Linked DNA regions of Callithrix jacchus. The protein of the gene in region 1 interacts with the protein of each later gene in a biochemical or structural test. Links are inferred from orthologs where the notes say so. Each region holds a gene or a part of one and is shown in the gene's direction. Other genes may lie near its edges. The genes, in order: USP21, YOD1 and ISG15.

Region 1 (7,109 bases):
TTCCCATCCCTCTGTGAAGTGGTAATGCTTCTCCACTGGTCTGCGGGCTGGACCCAGGCCGGCAGCTTGCCACACTTGCACCCCTGCTGTTTGGGAAGGATCTGTGCTGTAAGCCTCCTGGCCATACTACGACGGTCAGATCTCCATCCCTATGGCCTATAGGATGGGGCGACGGCACCCTATACCTCAGGGACTTGCTTTGGAGTCATGGATTAAAGCCCACTCTGGACAAGGTTGAGAACTAGCGGCCCTAAACTTGGCCGCGTTTCCTTGGTGTCGATCGCGGAGCCTTGGAGGCGGGCTCACGCAAGCGCCAAGGGGCCGGGTGGGAGGAGTTCGAGTGTGGATGCGCAGGCGCTTTGAGAGCCGGTGAAGCCGGTGGCCGGTGGCCGGGCGGGACCAACAAAGATGGCGGCGGCCCCTGCGGCGGGAGCGATCTGGGCAACGGCTGCGGCTAAAGCTGCAGCCGAGCCCACGGGGGCGCTGCACGGGGGTAGTAGGGGGTGGCCCTGAGCTGCACCTGGCCCCGGCTGGCCTCTCCCGCCGCCTCACCGGGGGACAGGTACGGGCCGGGGCGTTATGGCATGGCGGGGTGTGGGGGGGCGCAGAGGGAAGACTGCTCCAGACCCGAGAGGACACTCTCCACAAAGGCGCGTGGGGCCCGGTGGGACCTGGGAGAACTGGGCTGGAGGGACAGCATCCCTGGACCTCGGAGAATACCCCGCCGGATTCCGTAGCCAATCAGCGGCCTCGGCCTTTCTGCCCTCGAGGGGGGCGGACCCGGCTAAAGCCCTGCTGTGGTGGGAGAGGTGCAGAGATTAAGGGTCTAGGAGTTGTTCGTCCTCCAACCCCGATCACTGCCCCTGAACCTCGACACAATGTCGGAGGTCGAAGATGGGGGAGGGAATGGATCGTAAGTCACCCATTTAGTCTGCTTCATTTAGCAGCCCAAAGGGGCAGGGATTTGAGGATGGAGGGCTATCTTTGGGGCTGTTATTCTTGCATCTGCACTATCATTTGGTTGGAGATCTTAAGTGACTCGAGGCACATCCTACTTTATTAGCCAGGTGTGGGGTCCCATGTTATGTTAGAGCCCAGATAGAAGTTATCACTGGATTTTCAGTAAAGCTGTATTCTGCAGGCAGGGGACGGGAGTATAGAAAGGGTCAAAGCCATGGGCTGCTATCTTTCCTTCATTCGTTTACCCCATAGATACTAAGTATTTATACCAAACACAATGCCAGGTATTGGGGATATGATGGCTGATTCAGTAGACCTGGTTCCTGCCCTTAGTGCATATACTGCTCCCCACTTTTGTTGATGTGGTAGTGGTGATGACTGAGCCAATCTAATGTGGAAAGTGTGAGGACAGCAAAATATTGGGTATGGAATGGGGCAAAGCAATAAGGGAAAATTAGTGTGGCAGGGTGCAGTACAGTAGCCTGTTCCTGTTTCCTCCCATGTTCAAATGCTGACACTCTCTTCTCCTCCCAGGTCCAGTCTGTGGTGTCCACAATGCCCCAGGCCTCTGAGCACCGCCTGGGCCGGACCCGAGAGCCACCTGTTAATATCCAGCCCCGAGTGGGATCCAAGCTACCATTTGCCCCCAGGGCCCGCAGCAAGGAGCGCAGAAACCCAGCCTCTGGGCCAAACCCCATGTTACGACCTCTGCCTCCCCGGCCAGGTCCCCCTGATGAACGGCTCAAGAAACTGGAGCTGGGACGGGGACGTACCTCAGGCCCTCGTCCCAGAGGCCCCCTTCGAGCAGATCATGGGGTTCCCCTGCCTGGCTCACCACCCCCAACTGTGGCTTTGCCTCTCCCATCTCGGACCAACTTAACCCGTTCCAAGTCTGTGAGCAGTGGGGACTTGCGTCCGATGGGGATTGCCTTGGGAGGGCACCGTGGCACCGGAGAGCTTGGGGCTGCGCTGAGCCGCTTGGCCCTCCGGCCTGAGCCACCCACTTTGAGACGTAGCACTTCTCTCCGCCGCCTAGGGGGCTTTCCTGGACCCCCAACCCTGTTCAGCATACGGACAGAGCCCCCTGCTTCCCATGGCTCCTTCCACATGATATCCGCCCGGTCCTCTGAGCCTTTCTACTCTGATGACAAGATGGTGAGGACTTGACAGCTCATATGGCCTTCATGACCATGTTCCTCTATGCTTTTCTGCCATCCTCTGCCTTTCCTGTCCCCATTTCCTTCAAGTTCCTTTCTCATACCCTTGAGCCTCCCAGACCCTTTTCTGGGTTGTTGGTGACCCCAGCATGGTGTGCTGTTTCAGTCCCCAGGGAATTAGCCCAACTATTTAGAATTCTTCTTTGGGTTCGCAGGCCCTTCCTTTCCCTTGCTGTATCTTATCTGCTGGGACTCTGCCTGGGCCTAATTAATCTCTGGAGCTAAAGAGAGGCGGGCTCAGAACATCTTAGCAAATGTGGTTTTACATTTTCTGAGCTAAGTAAGCTAGGCTGATTGCAATTGGAGTCAGCAGGAGAAAGGGCAAGAAGGGGCCACGGGGGCAGGAGGGGGTTTTGGGGGCAGAAAGGTGGGAGTGGTGAGCAGCTGGGCAACCATGCCAGTTCTTGGGGAGTTGCCCCAGGAGCTGCAACGTCGGCTAGCTGAGCAGAGGAGTAAGTGGGCAACAGGTGGGACAGCCATGGCTGAGTCCGTGGTACATTCAGCTGTGATGGGCTTACTGCTCATGACCAGTGAGGTAGGGAGACTAGAATACCTAGTGAGGGGAAAAGGGTAGAGTTTGGGGATGGAACATGCATGGGATGAGGGAGGCAGTGGACAGCATGCTGTTGAAAAGATAAAGTGCCAGCTAGGATATATAGGAACTTGCCGATTGTACTCTGACCTTCCAGGCTCATCACACACTGCTTCTAGGCTCTGGTCATGTTGGCCTTCGAAACCTGGGAAACACGGTGAGAGTCATTCTCCTATCTTTCCTCTCTAAAAGGAATGTGAAATGGTGCTGGGGCTGGGGAAAACCCGCAAGCTTGGGGAAGGCATGTGGAAGGAGAGCTCTGAAGCTCTTTTAAGGCTTCCAGGGCAATGGTCTGGAGAGACAACAGCAGTGTCCCTGCTGCTCCCCAGTGCTTCTTGAATGCTGTGCTGCAATGTCTGAGCAGCACTCGACCTCTTCGGGACTTCTGTCTGAGAAGGGACTTCCGGCAAGAGGTGCCTGGAGGAGGCCGAGCCCAAGAGCTCACTGAAGGTGGGGCAACAATTCCTGCTCCCTCTGTTCAAGTCCCTTTTTCCCCAACCACTTGCAGGTCCATCTGCCAGTGCTGCTGGCCCCCAGCCCTTAAATCTGGCAGTTGTATCTACTTTTCCCAGTGCCTACTTTCCTAAAGGTTGTTTTCGCCCTCTTAGCCACCTGTTGCTTGCCTCTTCCAGACATTAATCTCCATTTCCCTTCCCCACTCATATCCCAACAGCCTTTGCAGATGTGATTGGTGCCCTCTGGCACCCTGACTCCTGCGAAGCTGTGAATCCTACTCGATTCCGAGCTGTCTTCCAGAAATATGTTCCCTCCTTCTCTGGATACAGGTGGGAGAGCTGGAGGCTATGGGGTTTCTCTCTGGCCATGTCTAGGGGTAGGGCCAAGCAAGGGCCTTGACAGCACTGTTCTGAGCCTTGTGTTCTTTATCCAGGAGGTGGGGACTGATATCTGGGCAGGGAATAGTGTCTGTGGACTAGGAGGGGGGTCAGTTGCCCATACTCTTTACCTGGCTGTAGCCAACAGGATGCCCAAGAGTTCCTGAAGCTCCTCATGGAGCGGCTGCACCTTGAAATCAACCGCCGAGGCCGACGGGCTCCACCAATCCTTGCCAGCGGTCCAGCTCCCTCTCCACCCTGCCGAGGAGGGGCTCTGCTAGAAGAACCTGACTTAAGGTAAGGGTCACTCCCCCTACCTCCTCTCCCCAGTAGTTTATCCACAGCATTCACATTTCATAGAACTGAACTAGTCAAGATCGAAGATTTAGGGTCCAGGGAAACCCTTTAGTACAGAATATAGTGTGAAAAGCTCTTCTAAGAAATGGAAGGAAGGAAGAGGGGGAGTCTAAGGGGAGCAGATGGAGGCAGATCATGCTAGGGATGTCACCAAATAGAAGGAGAAGGGGATAATTAATTTACAAGTAGAGGATGACAGCATATTCTTTCCTTGTATACATTCCTTTCTTTTCCTCTCACCTTGGATTTCCCTAGAAAGTTCACTGAGGCATTATTTCTTTGACTTTTCCTTGAGATTTAGGGAAGGAGCAGGGGTGTGGGTGGGGTATAGGGCTTTGTGGGTTGTTTCGGTGGGTGTTGGGGGTGCCCAGTGTTCCCACTGTCTCATGGGTGCTTCCTACTTCCCTTGATCTGTGGTAGTGATGATGACCGAGCCAACCTAATGTGGAAACGTTACCTGGAGCGAGAGGACAGCAAGATTGTGGGTATGGAACGGGGCAAAGCAATGAGGGAACATTAGTGTGTGAGGCGGTACAGGCTTGAGGGGAGGAAATCGATACTATCAAGGGGTATGGGAATGAGACTGGATGATGCAAATGTTGTGTGAAGAGTTGGTTAGAGTGTTGGTAGTGGGAAAGGGGCAGGAAGAGATGGAAATCAAGAAATCATCTCATGGCATCCAACAATGACTTTTTCTCCTGTCCCTGTGCTTCTATCTAGACCTGTTTGTGGGCCAGTTGAAAAGTTGTCTCAAGTGCCAGGCCTGTGGGTATCGCTCCACGACCTTCGAGGTTTTTTGTGACCTGTCCCTGCCCATCCCCAAGGTGGGATTCCAGAGGATTCCAGGGTGGATAGGACAAGGGCTCGGTGACCCAAGCCTACCCACCCCAAAATGTGGGAGGGAACCCTGTGGGTCTCTGGAGCAGAACTGAAGCCTGGATTGATTGAGAAGAGTTGGAAAAGGAAATTCAGAACATGTTGACCCTTTCTTCCCCTTTTTCCCCAGAAAGGATTTGCTGGGGGCAAGGTGTCTCTGCGGGATTGTTTCAACCTTTTCACCAAGGAAGAAGAGCTAGAGTCGGAGAATGCCCCAGTATGTGGAGGTTCACAAGGGTTATATTATAGTAAGGGTGGGAGACCTGGGGGGACTCCATGTGAATAAAAGGGATTGCATGATGCCTTAGTATGGGGAATAATATTTCCGTATCTGGATTTATGTAGGAGTCTCAGACACATTCTAGTACTCCTGGGGCAAAGGGGAGAGGCCGAGAGGATCTGGCCATAATTGGGAGCACACGGAATGGATTGGGGTGTCAGAAAAGCCAATTGAGGTTAGGATCACATTAACCCAACACTGTTTGCCATTTATTCAGGTGTGTGACCGATGTCGGCAGAAAACTCGAAGTACCAAAAAGTTGACAGTACAAAGATTCCCCCGGATCCTTGTGCTCCATATCCTAATCTTCATATTCTTCTCTTAGGATACCTCCCATACATTCTCTTTCCTCACTCTCCATGTTTCCAGAGAATTGAATTTTCCCTAGGAAATGCCTACCACCCACCTTTCCACAGGCCACTCTGCGTGTGTGTTGGGAGGGGGGAAAGAACAGCCTTCAGGACAGAAGTCCCCCTCAGAGGCCCTCTGCCTCCCAAATGCTCCTTAACCAGGGCTTAGATCTGAATCGATTTTCTGCCTCCCGAGGCTCCATCAAGAAAAGTTCAGTAGGTGTAGACTTTCCACTGCAACGACTGAGCCTAGGGGACTTTGCCAGTGACAAAGCCGGTGAGTCTGGTGGGGAAGGTTCTAAGGAGCTGAAGGAGTGGGGGCACAGCTCTGATTTTAGAACTTGATCATCTCCAACCTCGCAGGAAGTCCTGTATACCAGCTGTATGCCCTTTGCAACCACTCAGGCAGCGTCCACTATGGCCACTACACAGCCCTGTGCCGGTGCCAGACTGGTTGGCATGTCTACAATGACTCTCGGTGAGAACAGCCTCCTGTTTACATCCTGCCCCATTCCCACTGCAGCCCTGACACTCTCCCCTTCTGTGAAGCCCCAGGAGAGCAGAGTGCCAGGTGAAAGGAGAGGTGGAGGTCTTGCCTGATCTCTTCCTGGATGCTCTGATGTAGGGAGGAGGGGGTAAACTGGAATGACTACAACCTGTTCCCCATCTCCTTTTTCCTAGTGTCTCCCCTGTCAGTGAAAACCAGGTGGCATCCAGCGAGGGCTACGTGCTGTTCTACCAACTGATGCAGGAGCCACCCCGGTGCCTGTGATGCCCTCTCTAAGCCCTGGCACCTGTGAAGTCCTTTAAACACCCTTAAGCCCCAGGCTCCCCATTTACCTCAGAGACGTCTATTTTTGTGTCTTTTTAATCGGGGAGGGGGGAGGGGGTGGTCGTAGCTCCATTATTTTTTTTAATAAAAAGTACCCTTCCACCTGGAGGCTCCCTTGTCTCCCAGCCCCATGTACAGAGCTCACCAAGCCCTTGCCCATGTACAGCCCCCAGACCCTCTGCAATTTCACTTTTTGTGAATAAATTTATTAAGAAAAAAATGACGTGCTTATTTGTATTTTTGCTTAGGGGGTGAAACAGGACTGGGCTAAATTGGAGGCTTCCTGGGACCCAGTTCCCTCTGTAACAGGTGGGGGCGCTCTTAGAGCCGAGGGGGAAGGTTTCGGGGATGGTGCTGGACCCGGACCTGTGCGCCCCAGCAGCGAAGGTTAAGTACTGGGAGGAAAAGAGGGAAGGTACACTTGAGTGAGGCTGCCAGGAGGCCTGAACTAGAGTGCAAGCTCTGGGGCGACGGGTTTGGTGGGCGATGGGGACTGACACTGTTGACAAACACGGTACGTTGCCGGGCGGCCCTAGCTCCCGCAGGCTCGGTCTGTTGCTAACATCAAGGAGCTGTTTATGGAACCGCCTCCCCGTGGACCGGTCTCCAGTGTCCCTATCTACTCTCCCTAGAACCAAGCTTCTGGGGCCTTCCCTCCAGGGTTGTCACCCTAGCTGGGCGTACGAAGCTTGCTGGGGAACGCTAACTCCCCAGCGCTCGCCGCAGCGGCCCTAGGGAGCGTAGCGCCGGGTACTGCCGCTCACTTCCAGCTTGACGCTGACGCGGTTAACCTCCGGCTCTTCCAGCGGCCG
Region 2 (7,109 bases), on another chromosome or scaffold:
TTATAAATAGACCAAGTTCATTACCAAGAAAGTAACTCCAATCTAACCTTAGGTCTCAGTTTTGAAAAAAGTGAGGCCGGGTGCTGTGGCTCACACCTGTAATCCCAGAACTCTGGGAGGACGAAGTGGGCAGATCACGAGGTCAAGAGATCGAGACCACCCTGGCCAACATGGTGAAACCCCTGACTCTACTAAAAATACAAAAATTATCGGCGTGGTCTTGCGTGCCTGCAATCCCAGCTACTTGGGAAGCTGAGGCAGGAGAATCGCTTGAACCAGGGAGGCAGAGGTCGCAGTGAGCAGAGATCGCACCACTGCACTCCAGCCTGGCGACAGAGAGAGACAGACTCCGTCTCAAAGAAAAAAGAAAAGAGTGAGAGACGTGGGAAAATCTCGAACATATTCCCTGAAGGAAAAACAGTAACTGAACCCCAAGACAGCCTTAGCACGTCGTTATTTCTACTCTGGTGCATTCTCACGCCATGCTCCGCACTCTCTCCCCAGTTACCCTCGGGACTCAGTCTAAAGAACACCGGAGAGCTGAGGTGGTAAATGACTTCCCCAAGGTCACCTCAGAAAGAGGGGTAAGCCCTGATTCGAATTGGAATGGGAAACCCCTGAGCTCATGCCCCAAACTCAGACAGGAGGGGGCTGGTGAGGACGGAAGGTCCTGCGGCTTCAAGAGCCCTACATGATTCCAACGCTGACCACACAAATCCTCCAACCCAAACACCCGCTGTAGCTGCCGGTCCCAGAACGTCCGCGCTCCCTGCAGTGCCCGGGGACCAGCACCTCGCCCCGCACTTCATCCAGGGGCACGCAGCCCCCTCATCCAGCCCGCTAGACCCTACCCGGCGCTGCGCAGCTGTGGCTCACCCTACGATCTCTCCTATGATCCCTCCCTGCCTTGGCCCCGGCGCCTCCCCAGTAACGCAACCGAACCGACAGCTGGTGGCCGGGGCGGGCGCTCCAGTTGCCGGCAAATCACGTGAGCCCGTCTGGCCCCACCCCTTCGAGCCTAGGTCCTCACCTGGAGAGAATCATCCACCAATCGGGGGCCTGGAGGGCCCGGGGGCGGGGCCAGGTCACAATTGCCTACGAGGGCTCCGGAAGGCGGGTGGAAGTGGGAACCCGAGAGATCACCAGCTCCCGAGTTTCCCAGCGCCGTGGAGCCTGGTGGCATCGTTGCTTAGTAACTAATAGGGCTGGGGGCGGGGTTAATAAAAAGCCCGGCTTTTTTTCTGACTCTCGCGAGAGTGAACTATTCAGTAGGCGCCTTGAGAGGGAGTGTGTACTTTGGATGATGAGAAAGTGTTGCAAGAATTAACGCTCTCATTCCTGAATCCCAGCACAACCTCGTTAGATCCCTAAATGGGAACGTAGGCTTATGAAGATGTTTTTTCTAGAATAAACTACCACAACACTTGAGCTGATTATACCTTAGGGTGTTTACATATCCCTCTCCACAGGTCAGAAGCTGTACCCTAAGAAAATCAACTACTCTCATCTTTGAACCAGAAGCTTCCCTGGACCCACCCATACACCCCAGTGGGCTTCTAACCATTCCTACTTTCCCTCCTACCTGCCCCCAACCCAGGCTGTATCATCTGTGGTGATCGTCTTGAAGAACCAAGGAGGAAAATTGCACCAGAAAAAAAAATTGAGTCATTAAAGGTGTGAAAAGATTACATATAATTTATTCAGAAGCTAAGTGTTTTACAGGAGATGAGTTTGCACCTTCCACGTGAACTACACTTTTCATAGTTGCCCCAGCGGGCCCGTCTGATGCTTGATAAACCCACTCTAGGCAGGTGGGACTTGCTGTCTGGATCCCGGCTGTATAAAGAACAATGAGTATGGATTTCTTGAAAAAGACAAATATAAATTCACGGATGTCTTTATTCCTCCTTCGCCTAGGAATTAAATTCATTCTTCCTAAAGTTCAAATAGTTATCGCCTCTTTGAGGCTTTTACAACTCCCAGAGCGCTCTAGTAGCCCTCTCTGTGTTACAACTCTGTCTTTATTCATTCGCAAGTATTTGTTGAACACTTTTTATTTACGAGGCAAAGTCCTGGGTTCTAGGCATACATGGTTGAAAAGGTACACGTAATCTAGCATTGTCACGTTGCTTTGAAATTCAGTGGCTGTGTGTCTCACACTCCACCCTCTCGCTCAGTCGCAATGAATACTTGTTACACTGAAGGCAGGAATGAAGTCTTCATATTTCTATGCCCAGGAACTGAACTGGAATCTGATGACACTTGTTTCACGACTCCTCCTTACACTGCCACCACCTGAATAAGGCAACTGCCCTGTGCCCAGATGCTGACTGTGCTTTCTGATGTAGCAAATAGACGTTTTCAAGCACAGTCTCGGGAGGTGGAAAGGTCAGTCCTTTGGCCCCTGAAACTCCAATGAGTCAATGTTTAATGCAGCCACGAGTCTAGTCACAAGTAGGATTGTTTTTGACTGGTCCTTTGACTCACCGACCATTCCTGGCATTCATTTGCGTTGTGAGCTATGATTCTGTTTCTCCTGGTGTAGTCTGGGTATAGTGTGGAAGCCCCGATTTAATAATTTCCGACCTCATTAAGTGCCAGGTCACATTCCAATCTCCACGGCTTCATTCAGGAACTCCTTCCCCCGCCCTCTTCTTTGAGCATATATGCTACCTCACTCGCTCTACAGGTAGCAAGACCCGTTGTCCTTTAGGAATACGGAGGTTTACATCTTCGTTCTGAGGGTGGGGAAAAAAAATTGTTATCACTTTAAAAGTGTTCGCGCTTGCTAAGGTGCTAAGGCAGAAGCAGAGCTCGAAGCGTCGCGAGAACTGGAACCACGCGCAACTTCTCGCGATGTTTGGCCCCGCTAAAGGTCGCCATTTTGGAGTCCACCCGGCTCCTGGTTGTCCCGGCGGCGACTCTCAACCTGCTGCCGGGACCAAAGCTGGCCCCGAGGGTGTCTGGCCTGTGGGCAGCCGGACCGACACGATGTGGCGGCTCCGCTGCAAGGCCAAGGACGGCACCCATGTTTTGCAGGGGCTGTCCAGCCGGACCAGGGTGTGGGAACTCCAGGGCCAAATTGCCGCCATCACCGGGATCGCCCCCGGCGGTCAGCGAATCCTCGTCGGATACCCTCCCGAGTGCCTGGATCTCAGCAATGGGGATACCATTCTGGAGGACTTGCCCATCCAATCTGGTAAGGAATCAGGGCTGGGGCCAGTAAAGTCTCGGGAGGACGGAGAGGGGCGTGAGAGAGAATAGAAAGCTAGTTACGGTGGCTGTGGGTCAACTGGGGCTTTGAGACCAGGGGTGAGGATAGATCAAAGAACAGAGAACTCTGACGCAAGCCGGGGCAAGTGTCTAGCAACTCCTGGTCTTTACACAGGCTTGAAAAGCAACCCACAGCCTTGAAGTCCCCCTTACCCAATCCGCTTTCTGGTCGGCTTTGAAACTATCTGATTTTGTTTTCCCTCGGCGTTCACAAAAATAAAAAGAAGTAGGGCCTCTTTTCTCTGTCCTTATTTATGTCTCTTTTTCCCTATATCATCGATCAGGTCTTAAGGGTGCAGGATTTTTTTTTTTTCTTGGTTCATTTTTGCGGTCGCCTTCATAGATACTTCGTTTGATAGGCATATTCATTTTAGAGTTAGCTTTTAGACACCCACTGAAAGCCCTTTCAAGTTCTAACCAGGAGCAGTTTATTTCTGTGCCATATTAAAACTTGAACATCAGTGTTGATAATTAAAAGCTTCCAGTTGTATCAAGGACGCTGTAAACACTCGATAGAGTAGATAATTTTCCGGAGAAGGAGAACCCCCTAGCGGCCTACTTTGTAGTGAGCACCTTCTGTAAGATACTGTATAAGGAAATGAAATTTTGTTTTTGAATATATCTTTTTAAGTAAGCCTCAAGTTGTATACTCTAGACCCCTTGACTAAATTGGGGTGCAATCTGAAGTGTTTTTTGTTCTTTGTTCTTTTTTCATCTTTATGAAAATTCAGTGAATAAAAATTGTTACTGGTCACTTATTTGCAAAGCTGTATTCTTCTTAGTAACCCCAGTTTATGCTTTAACTCCTTCAGTTTGTAATTTACAGACGTGGCTAGTGAACACTTCAGTTTCTTCTGTAATTTCTCTGCAGTTCTGAATTCTTTTTTTTTTTTTAACAGGTGACATGCTGATCGTTGAAGAAGACCAAACCAGGCCCAAAAGTTCACCTTCACTTACTAAACATGGTGCTTCTAGTTACGTCAGGGAAACTTTGCCTGTGCTTGCCAGAACCGTGGTCCCAGCAGACAACTCTTGCCTCTTTACCAGTGTGTACTATGTCGTTGAAGGAGGAGTCTTGAATCCAGCTTGTGCTCCTGAGATGAGACGCCTCATAGCACAAATTGTAGCAAGTGATCCAGACTTCTATAGTGAGGCAATACTGGGAAAAACAAATCAAGAGTACTGTGACTGGATCAAAAGGGATGACACTTGGGGAGGAGCAATAGAGATATCGATTTTGTCCAAGTTTTACCAATGTGAAATATGTGTAGTGGATACACAGACAGTAAGAATTGATCGTTTTGGGGAAGATGCAGGATATACCAAAAGGGTTCTGCTTATTTATGACGGCATCCACTATGATCCACTTCAGCGGAACTTCCCCGATCCAGACACACCTCCTCTGACCATTTTCTCCTCTAATGATGATATCGTTCTCGTACAAGCACTGGAACTAGCAGATGAAGCTAGGAAAAGGAGACAGTTTACTGATGTCAACCGCTTCACCCTGAGATGCATGGTATGTCAGAAAGGATTAACTGGACAAGCAGAAGCAAGGGAACATGCCAAGGAGACAGGCCATACCAACTTTGGAGAAGTGTGATCTCTGCATGAATGAGGGTTGAAGCCTACTACCTCACAGATCCAGAAGGCTCTGGGTTTTCCAATAAGCTATTGTAACCCTAAAGAACAAAAGGACACAATGCTTGAACCATCCTTTTAACTTAAAACCACTAAGACACTGAAATTCCTTGTTAAGATTAAAATTAGTGTGCAAGTTTACAGATGTGTGTCTACAATGGTAGACTGTACATACATGCCTCTTTCTGCTGGAGTGACAGAGGTGATCCTTGCCACCTACTGACACTGACCTGAAGATTGAGATTTAGTATTATAAACTAGCACCCAGCAGCTTTAACTTTTAGAAGAAAACATCACATTCTGGGTAATGTGGAAGGCCTGTGAGGCCACTGGACATTTACCAGTGTCTCCAGTAACTGAGTCGTTTTAAAAACTGAATGAGTTAAGTTTCTAAATTATGAATTGATTCATCAAATGAAGATACTCAGAATTGTCCAAACTGATTTTATATTGCAATTTGGTAGACTTTATAAATGTGTGCTTAACCACTGATAAGTACATCACAAGCAATTTTTACAGGGATGAGTTTCCCTTGAGAATGTTATCACAAAACAGGAACTGATTGTGCCCTGTTTAAGATATCTAGTGTATAAAAAGTAGAATGTATGAGGGAAAAGGTGCCTGAGCAGCTTACTGAAGCTTTAAAAAGACCGTTGGCCTCGTGTTTTAATGCAATTCTTGTATTGGTTGTCACATTGGATAACATTTTGAAGTTAAGCAGGGTATTTTTTTAATTGAAATTCCTTGAAATTTGAGTGCTCAGTTTTCCCTTCATTTGCATAAAGATTTGTCTGGAGGGATTTAGTTTTCTCAGCCTTGTGTTAAGAGCACTTTATCCAAATTTTTTTTTTTTCAACTAAAGTAATAATGCTCTGCTTTGGGTTGGTTTTTGTAAGATTTTTTTTGCATACCTACACAGTGTTTGCTTTTGTGCTGGCCTTATCCCTCCACTAATGTGATTTTAAAGAATTCCACATTTCTGCAAATTAGCACTTTGCTTATCTGCAATCTTTTACTTTGATTTTTGAAGTAATTGGAGTAATGCTGTTGAATGAATTTGTTTCACTTCCAAAATAGGAATATGTTTAAATCCTTGCCTTATGCAGCTTTCTCGGAATTCTGCTTCTTCCTAATACTAGATGTGTAGCCATTTGCTTGGTGGACTAATCCGCAAGGCACACCCTCTAAAACTTAGCTTCACTACAAGATCTTCCAGATAAAGTTTTCTACCTCTTTTCTTAATTATTCTGATCAGGGATGCTAAATTATCATATGTTATGTATTATCTCACATAATGTGAAGAGGCTTAATGTTGTGAAGTTTGATTGTTTTGGTCTTATTTTTTATTAAGTATCTCAGAGTATCAATGGTATACTTTAAAGCACTTAGTTCTTTTTCAGCCTATCTTCCTGGCAGATGTTTTAAAATTGACCTTTACTTTTAGCACTTCACTTGGTGAAGGTGGCCATATAAAATTAAGGAACGTTTGAGCAATATAGGAAAAAAGTACTTTTAAGGAACAATTCACAAAATATGTTTGAAATCATCAGATGACATTTCTTGAATATCTTTTGTGTGCATAGTTATTTTAGACAGTATAAGCTATTATGGTTAGTATAACTTAACAGTGTTTAGTTTTCTATTTTACTGAGCCTTAAAAATAGCACTTGTGAGCTTACAATACTTAATGTTTGGCAATCATGTTCAAATTAATAGGATTGAAAATATCTGGTCTGGATGGTTTTGGTTTTGCATCTTTCTTATTTCTCCCAGAAAATATTAAATTTAAAACTGTAAATTAAGACTATACCACTAGACAGCAACCATCAGTTTGAGCTTTATGCATCATTACTCATAAATCTTGCCTTCCATTGCTACTTTAGGAGACAAATTTGACATTTGCTTAATGCAGCTTTAGATCTACAAGTTTATTCATGCAACAAATATTTATTGAGTAATTTATACTGTGCCAGGCATGTTTTGATATGTTTGTGTCCTATGTTTTGATATGTTCCAACATAAATTTCTGTCACTTTAAAATTCAGTATATATCGTCTATGGTGGGTAAATTTAACAAATGAAAAGGAATAGAACACTGATATTTTACAGAATTAAACCCATTCATTGTAAGTGCTTTGTTTACATATTAAGTGTCAAGTATTTATTCAGGAGCTCTTATTTCATTCTGTTTTATC
Region 3 (6,122 bases), on another chromosome or scaffold:
TTTTTACATGCTAACAATGTTTGTGCCCCACTAGATTTTTGCTGGGAGAGGGGAAGGCCCACGATTCGTATTCAGAATATGTTGTTTTTTCACTCCTTTACTTATTTATTTGAATGTTATGTATGATTGCTGAGTCTTAGCTACCCTTGCCTGCTATGTGCTGTATGTCACAGCAGCAATTTGGGAACACTGAGTGATGTGGGACTGGTTAACTAAATCGACTCTGTGTGGGCAGGGACCCGTCTGCAGTTAAAACAACTTGCATAGATGTATCCACCAATGCGGATAGATGTGTGTTTTGTGTTTTGGGGTTTTTCTTTTGAGATAGAGTCTTGCTCTGTTGCCCAGGCTGGAGTGCAGTAGAGTGATCTCCACTCACTGCAATCTCCACGTCATGGGCTCAAGTGATTCTCCTACCAAGTAGCTGGGATGACAGGCTTGCATCACCACACCCAGCTAATTTTTTGCATTTTTAGTAAAGACGGGTTTTCACCATGTTGGCCAATCTGGTCTCGAACTCCTGGCCTCCAGTGATCTGCCCATCTGGGCCTCCCAAAGTGCTGGGATTACAGGTGTGAGCCACTGCTCCCGGCCTTTTTTTTTTTTTTTTTTTTTTTTGTATTTTTAGTAGAGATGGGGTTTCACCATGCAGGTCAGGCTGGTCTCAAACTCCTGGCCTTGAGTGATCCGCCTGCCTCAGCCTCCCAAAGTGCTGGGATTACAGGTGTGAGCCACCCACACCCGGCCTAGGCAGATGTTTATGATACATTGTTTCCTGAATGAAGCAGATTACAAACTGGTGAACATACAATGAGGCTTTTTCTCTTTTGCTTTTTATTGATGTGAAAATCATATAACATGAAACTAACCATTTTAAAGAATGTAATCCAGTGGCCTTTATTCATCACATTGTCCAACCATCACTCTACGGCTGTTATCACCCCATCCCTCCTCCCCAGCCCCCGGTAACAGGCCTGACTTCCTGTTCCTGTGGTCTATCCGTTCTGGGCATTTTTCCTGCAGTAAGTGGAATCACACAACCTGCCGCCTTTGTATCTGGCTCCTTTCCCTTAGCATAATGTTTGTGAGGTTCTTTTACATCGTAGCAGGAATCAGTGCTTCAGTCCTTTTCACGGCTGCATAATATTCCATTGCATGGACATTCCACATTTTGTTTATCCATTCATCTCTGATGGACGTTTGCTCTGTTTCCAAGATTTGTCTAATGTGAATTGTGCTGCTATGAACATTTGTATGCAAGTATTTGAACACCTGTTTTCAATTCTTTTGAACACATGCCTGCAAGTGGAATGCTGAGTTACTCAATAATTCTATGTCTAACATTTTGAGGATCACAGTGGCCAAACTATTTTACATTCCCAACAGCAGTGTTATGTGCCATGATTCCAACTTCTCCGTGTAGTCATTCACCAACGCTTGTTATTGTCCTTTATTTTTATTTTATACTAGTTTTTGAGACAGTCTCGCTCTGTCGCCAAGGCTGGAGTGCAGTGGCACAGTCTTGGCTCACTGCAATCTACACCTCCCGGGTTCAAGAGATTCTCCTGCCTCAGCCTCCCAAGTAGCTGGGATTACAGGTGCCCTCCACCACACCTGGCTAATTTTTGTATTTTAGTAGAGATGAGGTTTCTACTAAAAATGTTGGCCAGGCTGGTCTGGAACGCCTGACCTCAGGTGATATGTCTTCCTCAGCCTCCTGAAATGTTGGAGGACATGTTCAGTGAGCCTTCATTTTCATTATTACAGTCATGCTAATCGAAATCAGCTTCTCATTGGGGTTTTGATTTGCATTTCCCCATGAATAATGATACGGCCGCCTTCCCGAGGTACGCAGCTGTTTCTGTGTCACTGGAGAAATGTCTATTGAAGTCTTTTGCCCATTTTAAAATTGACTCGCCTTTTTAAAATTGAGTTGTAAGAGTTCTTTGTACGCCCTGGATGCTGCCCCTCATCAGAGAAATAATTTGAAAATATTTCTTCCCATTCTGTGGATTGTTTTTCACTTTCTCAGTAGGGCCCCAGAATTCATTTTTTTTTTTTTAATAAAAGATATGTCTCTTCTATTAAAAAACAATATGAGGCCTGAGCGTGGCGGCTCAGGCCTGTCATCCCTGCACTTTTGGGGCCGAGGCAGGTGGATCACTTGAGTCCAGAAGTTCAAGACCAACTTGGGCAACATGGAGAGATTCCATCTCTACTAAAAATACAAAAAATTAGCTGGTGCACCTGTGGTCCCAGCTACTTAAGAGGCTGAAGTGAAAGGATCGCTTTGGCCCAGGAGGTGGAGGCTGCAGTGCACTGAGATCGTGCCACTGCACTTCAGCCTGGGGGACAGAGTGAGACCCTGTCTCAAAAAAACAAAAACAACAACAAAAAACACCAATCTGAGCAAACATTTCCCTAAACCAAGTGAGGTTATCTCTGGGTAGTTTGGACGGTCACTGTTTCACTTCCAAGTTTACTAATCTTGCAAACTGGTAAATGGAAAATGAAAACTGCCCATCATTCGTTCATGCGACGATGAGTTACTACATCTCGTGAAGGACCCAGAATGCTGGATACTCAGGTGTTTCCAGGGCGTTGGGCAGGGGTGGGGACGCTGTCCGCTGTCCTGAGTCCCTGTCCCTGACCGTGCCCTTGAGACCCTGCCTACTCTGCTTCTGCTTTTCCCTCTGTTTTCGTCATTCTGTTTTGTTTCTTCTACTCACTCCCGGGCTTGCCTCGGGAAAAGGAAACTGAAACCGAAGCTGAATCTGGCCACTAGGCTCAGGCTCCCCTGGCACGCCCCCTGACATGTGCGGCTCAGGCTTATAAAAGGGCCGGTGGTGGCTCGGGAGCTGGCAGCCCAGAGGCAGCGCATTCATCTTTGCTGTATGGGAGCTTGTGCCACAGCCCACAGCCATGGTAAGGCAGATGCCACAGGTGGGGGCGGGGGGCTGCGTTCAGTCCATTTTCCTCTCTCTTCCCCAGCCAGGGTCTCCTGGGGGTGCAGGGTGCTGAGTGGTCAGCCAGGTGACCTGAACGTTCTCCTGAAAGCGGGTCACCCCGGAGAGTGTCGGGGTGGGGCACAGAGGGGCGTCCTAGCAGGTAAGGGGAGGCCACAAGGTGGCTGTGGGCAGCTGACCTTCTAGCAGTGACCCCTCAGTGCCTTCTGTGCCTGCGGTCCCTGCTGACAACATGTGGATGGAGCAGTATCCCTGGGCACAGGCGCTTGTGCAGCCAGAGCCTCATGTGTGGTGGGCCTGGGGCTGGTGCAGAGTCTCTGAGCCTGTGTGATTCCTGCAGGGCCGGGACCTGACAGTGAAGATGCTGGGGGGCCACGAGTTCCAGGTGCCCCTGAGCAACTCCATGTTGGTGTCAGAGCTGAAGGCAAAGATCACCCAGAAGATCGGTGTGCACGCCTTCCAGCAGCGTCTGGCCATCTACCCGAGTGGCATGGCACTGCAGGACAGGGTCCCCCTTGCCAGCCAGGGCCTGGGCCCCGGCAGCACCATCCTGCTGGTGGTGGACAGCTGTCATGAACCTCTGAGCATCCTGGTGAGGAATGACAAGGGCCGCAGCAGCACCTATGAGGTGGCACTGACACAGACCGTGGCGCAGCTGAAGCGGCAAGTGAGCCAGCAGGAGGGCGTGCAGGAAGACCTGTTCTGGCTGACCTTCGAGGGGAAGCCCATGGAGGACCAGCTCCCGCTGGGAGAGTATGACCTCAAGCCCCTGTGCACCGTGTACATGAATCTTCGCCTGCGGGGAGGCAGCGCAGAGCCTGGCAGGCTGAGCAGAGGGCCTCCTGCCAGCATCTGAGCAGGATCAAGTGCTGGAAATAAAGGTTGCTGCAAGGGGAAATGGATGCCTCTGTGTCTGCGCCTGCCCCTCCAGGGGCCATCTCTGATCTGACCCTGCTGATGGAGCTAGGGGAGGAGTCAGGAGGGAGAACTGCCTCTGTGTCTGCACCTGCCACTCCAGGGGCCACCTCTGATCTGACCCTGCTGATGGGGCTAGGGGAGGAGTCAGGAGGGAGAACACAGGGTATATCCTGGTGGCCAGGCCTGCGTTGCCAAGTGAAGGGCCTGCAGTTACAGCCTCGAGGGATCAAAATAGGGACCCCCCCAAAACTGAAGTAAGACAGGTCTTCCCACCCTTTGGGAAATTATCTTCTAGAGAAAGAAAAAGAGGTGCATTTGATGGAACCCACCTGGCCCTCCAGCATCTGGGACAGCAGACGGCTTGCACAGGGACCAGCCTGCTCAGATCAAAAGGCTACCAGGGAGGCTCATGGAAGCAGTGAGGGGTGATTCCTCGGGGCCTACCCAGTGGGCCGTGAGGCAGGCTCTGCACAGGAACTGGGGCTGGGGGCCTTAGTTATCCCTAGGCAGCATGCACAGCCTGCTCCACCTGCCTGGGCTGGGCTAGGGAGGAGTAGAGACGGTCTGAACCTCACATCACCACTGTGGCCAGCTGCAGAAGAGCAGAAGGCAGCCTGGGTGGCCCCAAGCACACTCTTCAGGGCTCTGCATGAGGGAGGGGCTGTGGCCAGCAGTGGGGGGCACCTGGAATTGAGGCTGACACTGTCCAGGAAGAAGGGCTTGTCCCAGGTGGGGGGACCCAAGTCAGTACAAGCTATACCCCCCTCCCCACTGATGTGCCCTTCCCTGTCTCTCGATTCCAATTTGCTAAATGAGTCCCCCCAGAAGCCAGCTGTCGGCCAGGACACTTCAAGGACACGGCACAGTGGGACACACAGAGTCCGGATTGGGGCACTTGGGCCTCAGCTTTCAGAGCCCTGGAGGGGATGTGGCTGGAGACACAGAGCCCTCCGTGGTCTGTGAGTCCATGTCTGGGTGGGGGATCCCCATCTGGCTGCACCAAGACCACTGTGTGCCTGAGTGTGTCCAGCAGGGGCTGTCTCAGCTCCAGCCTTGTTTCTGGTCCCCACCTCATCCCTTTGCCACAACAGGCACTTGAAGCTGGCCCAGGAGTCTCTCCTGAAACCCCCACAGGGTCAGGGCAGGGCAGAGTCTCTGTCATACTCTGACCCAGAGATCAGTAGCTAGCTTGGGGTGAGGGGGTGCACCACAGACCCAGTCCTTTTTTTTAAATTTTGAGACGGAGTCTTGCTCTGTTGTCCAGGCTGGAGAGCAGTGGCACGATCTTGGCTCATTGCAACCTCTGCCTCCCAGGTTCAAGCAATTCTCCTGCCTCAGCCTCCTCGTGCCTGCCACCATGCCCAGCTAATTTTTGTTTTGTTTTGTATTTTTAGTAGAGACAGGGTTTCGCTGTGTTGGCCAGGCTGGTCTCAAGCTCATGATCTCGTGATCTGCCCTCCTTGGCCCCCAAAGTGCTGCGATTACAAGTGTGAGCCACCTCACCTGGCCTAATTTTTGTATTTTTAGTAGAGATGGGTATTTTACCATCCTGGCCAGGCTGGTCTTGAACTCCTGGTCTCAAGTGATCTGTGTGCCTCAGCCTCCCAAAGTGCTGGGATTACAGGTGTGAACCACTGCAACCACTGCATACGGGCGACCCAGTCCTTTGAAAATAAATACAGGCCAGATGCAGTGGCTCACGCCTGTAATCCCAGCACTTTGGGAGGCCAAGGCGGGTAGATCACAAGGTCAAGAGATCGAGACCATCCTGGTCGACAAGGTGAAACCCCGTCTCTACTAAAAATACAAAAAATTAGCTGGGCATGGTGGTGCGTGCCTGTAGTCCCAGCTACTCGGGAGGCTGAGGCAGGAGAATTGCCTGAACCCAGGAGACAGAGGTTGCGGTGAGCCAAGATTGCACCATTGCACTCCAGCCTGGGTAACAAGAGCAAAACTCCGTCTCAAAAAAAAAAAATAAATAAATACAGGCCGGATGCAGTGGCTCACGCCTGTAATCCCAGCACTTTGAGAAACTGAGGTGAGTGGATCATGAGGTCAAGCCTGGCCAAGATGGTGAAAACCCCGTTTCTACTAAAAATACAAAAATTAGCCGGGCATGGTGGTGGGCACCTGTAATCCCAGCTACTTAGGAGTCTGAGGCAGGAGAATTGCTCGAACCCAGGAGGTGGAGGTTGCAGTGAGCAGAGATCGTCCTACTGCACTCCAGCCTGGGCAACA

What was found.
Region 2: the proteins of USP21 (region 1) and YOD1 form a complex in vitro, tested with the Homo sapiens proteins (2 studies listed by BioGRID, with this or other methods). The link is inferred for Callithrix jacchus from reciprocal best matches to the Homo sapiens genes USP21 and YOD1.
Region 3: the proteins of USP21 (region 1) and ISG15 form a complex in vitro, tested with the Homo sapiens proteins (2 studies listed by BioGRID, with this or other methods). The link is inferred for Callithrix jacchus from reciprocal best matches to the Homo sapiens genes USP21 and ISG15.

Annotation. Positions count from the first base shown.
Region 1 is NC_133519.1:21,022,037-21,029,145, forward strand, and holds USP21 (ubiquitin carboxyl-terminal hydrolase 21), read left to right. Parts: upstream 1-384; 5' UTR 385-562; intron 563-1,494; 5' UTR 1,495-1,515; coding exon 1,516-2,115; intron 2,116-2,866; coding exon 2,867-2,926; intron 2,927-3,098; coding exon 3,099-3,219; intron 3,220-3,442; coding exon 3,443-3,554; intron 3,555-3,743; coding exon 3,744-3,899; intron 3,900-4,379; coding exon 4,380-4,444; intron 4,445-4,679; coding exon 4,680-4,783; intron 4,784-4,965; coding exon 4,966-5,052; intron 5,053-5,332; coding exon 5,333-5,411; intron 5,412-5,634; coding exon 5,635-5,742; intron 5,743-5,828; coding exon 5,829-5,943; intron 5,944-6,146; coding exon 6,147-6,237; 3' UTR 6,238-6,521; downstream 6,522-7,109. UniProt on the Homo sapiens protein: Deubiquitinates histone H2A, a specific tag for epigenetic transcriptional repression, thereby acting as a coactivator.
Region 2 is NC_133520.1:34,558,032-34,565,140, reverse strand, and holds the start of YOD1 (ubiquitin thioesterase OTU1), read left to right. Parts: upstream 1-2,691; 5' UTR 2,692-2,856; coding exon 2,857-3,199; intron 3,200-4,172; coding exon 4,173-4,876; 3' UTR 4,877-7,109. UniProt on the Homo sapiens protein: Hydrolase that can remove conjugated ubiquitin from proteins and participates in endoplasmic reticulum-associated degradation (ERAD) for misfolded lumenal proteins.
Region 3 is NC_133508.1:39,227,324-39,233,445, forward strand, and holds ISG15 (ubiquitin-like protein ISG15), read left to right. Parts: upstream 1-2,860; 5' UTR 2,861-2,922; coding exon 2,923-2,925; intron 2,926-3,306; coding exon 3,307-3,822; 3' UTR 3,823-3,864; downstream 3,865-6,122.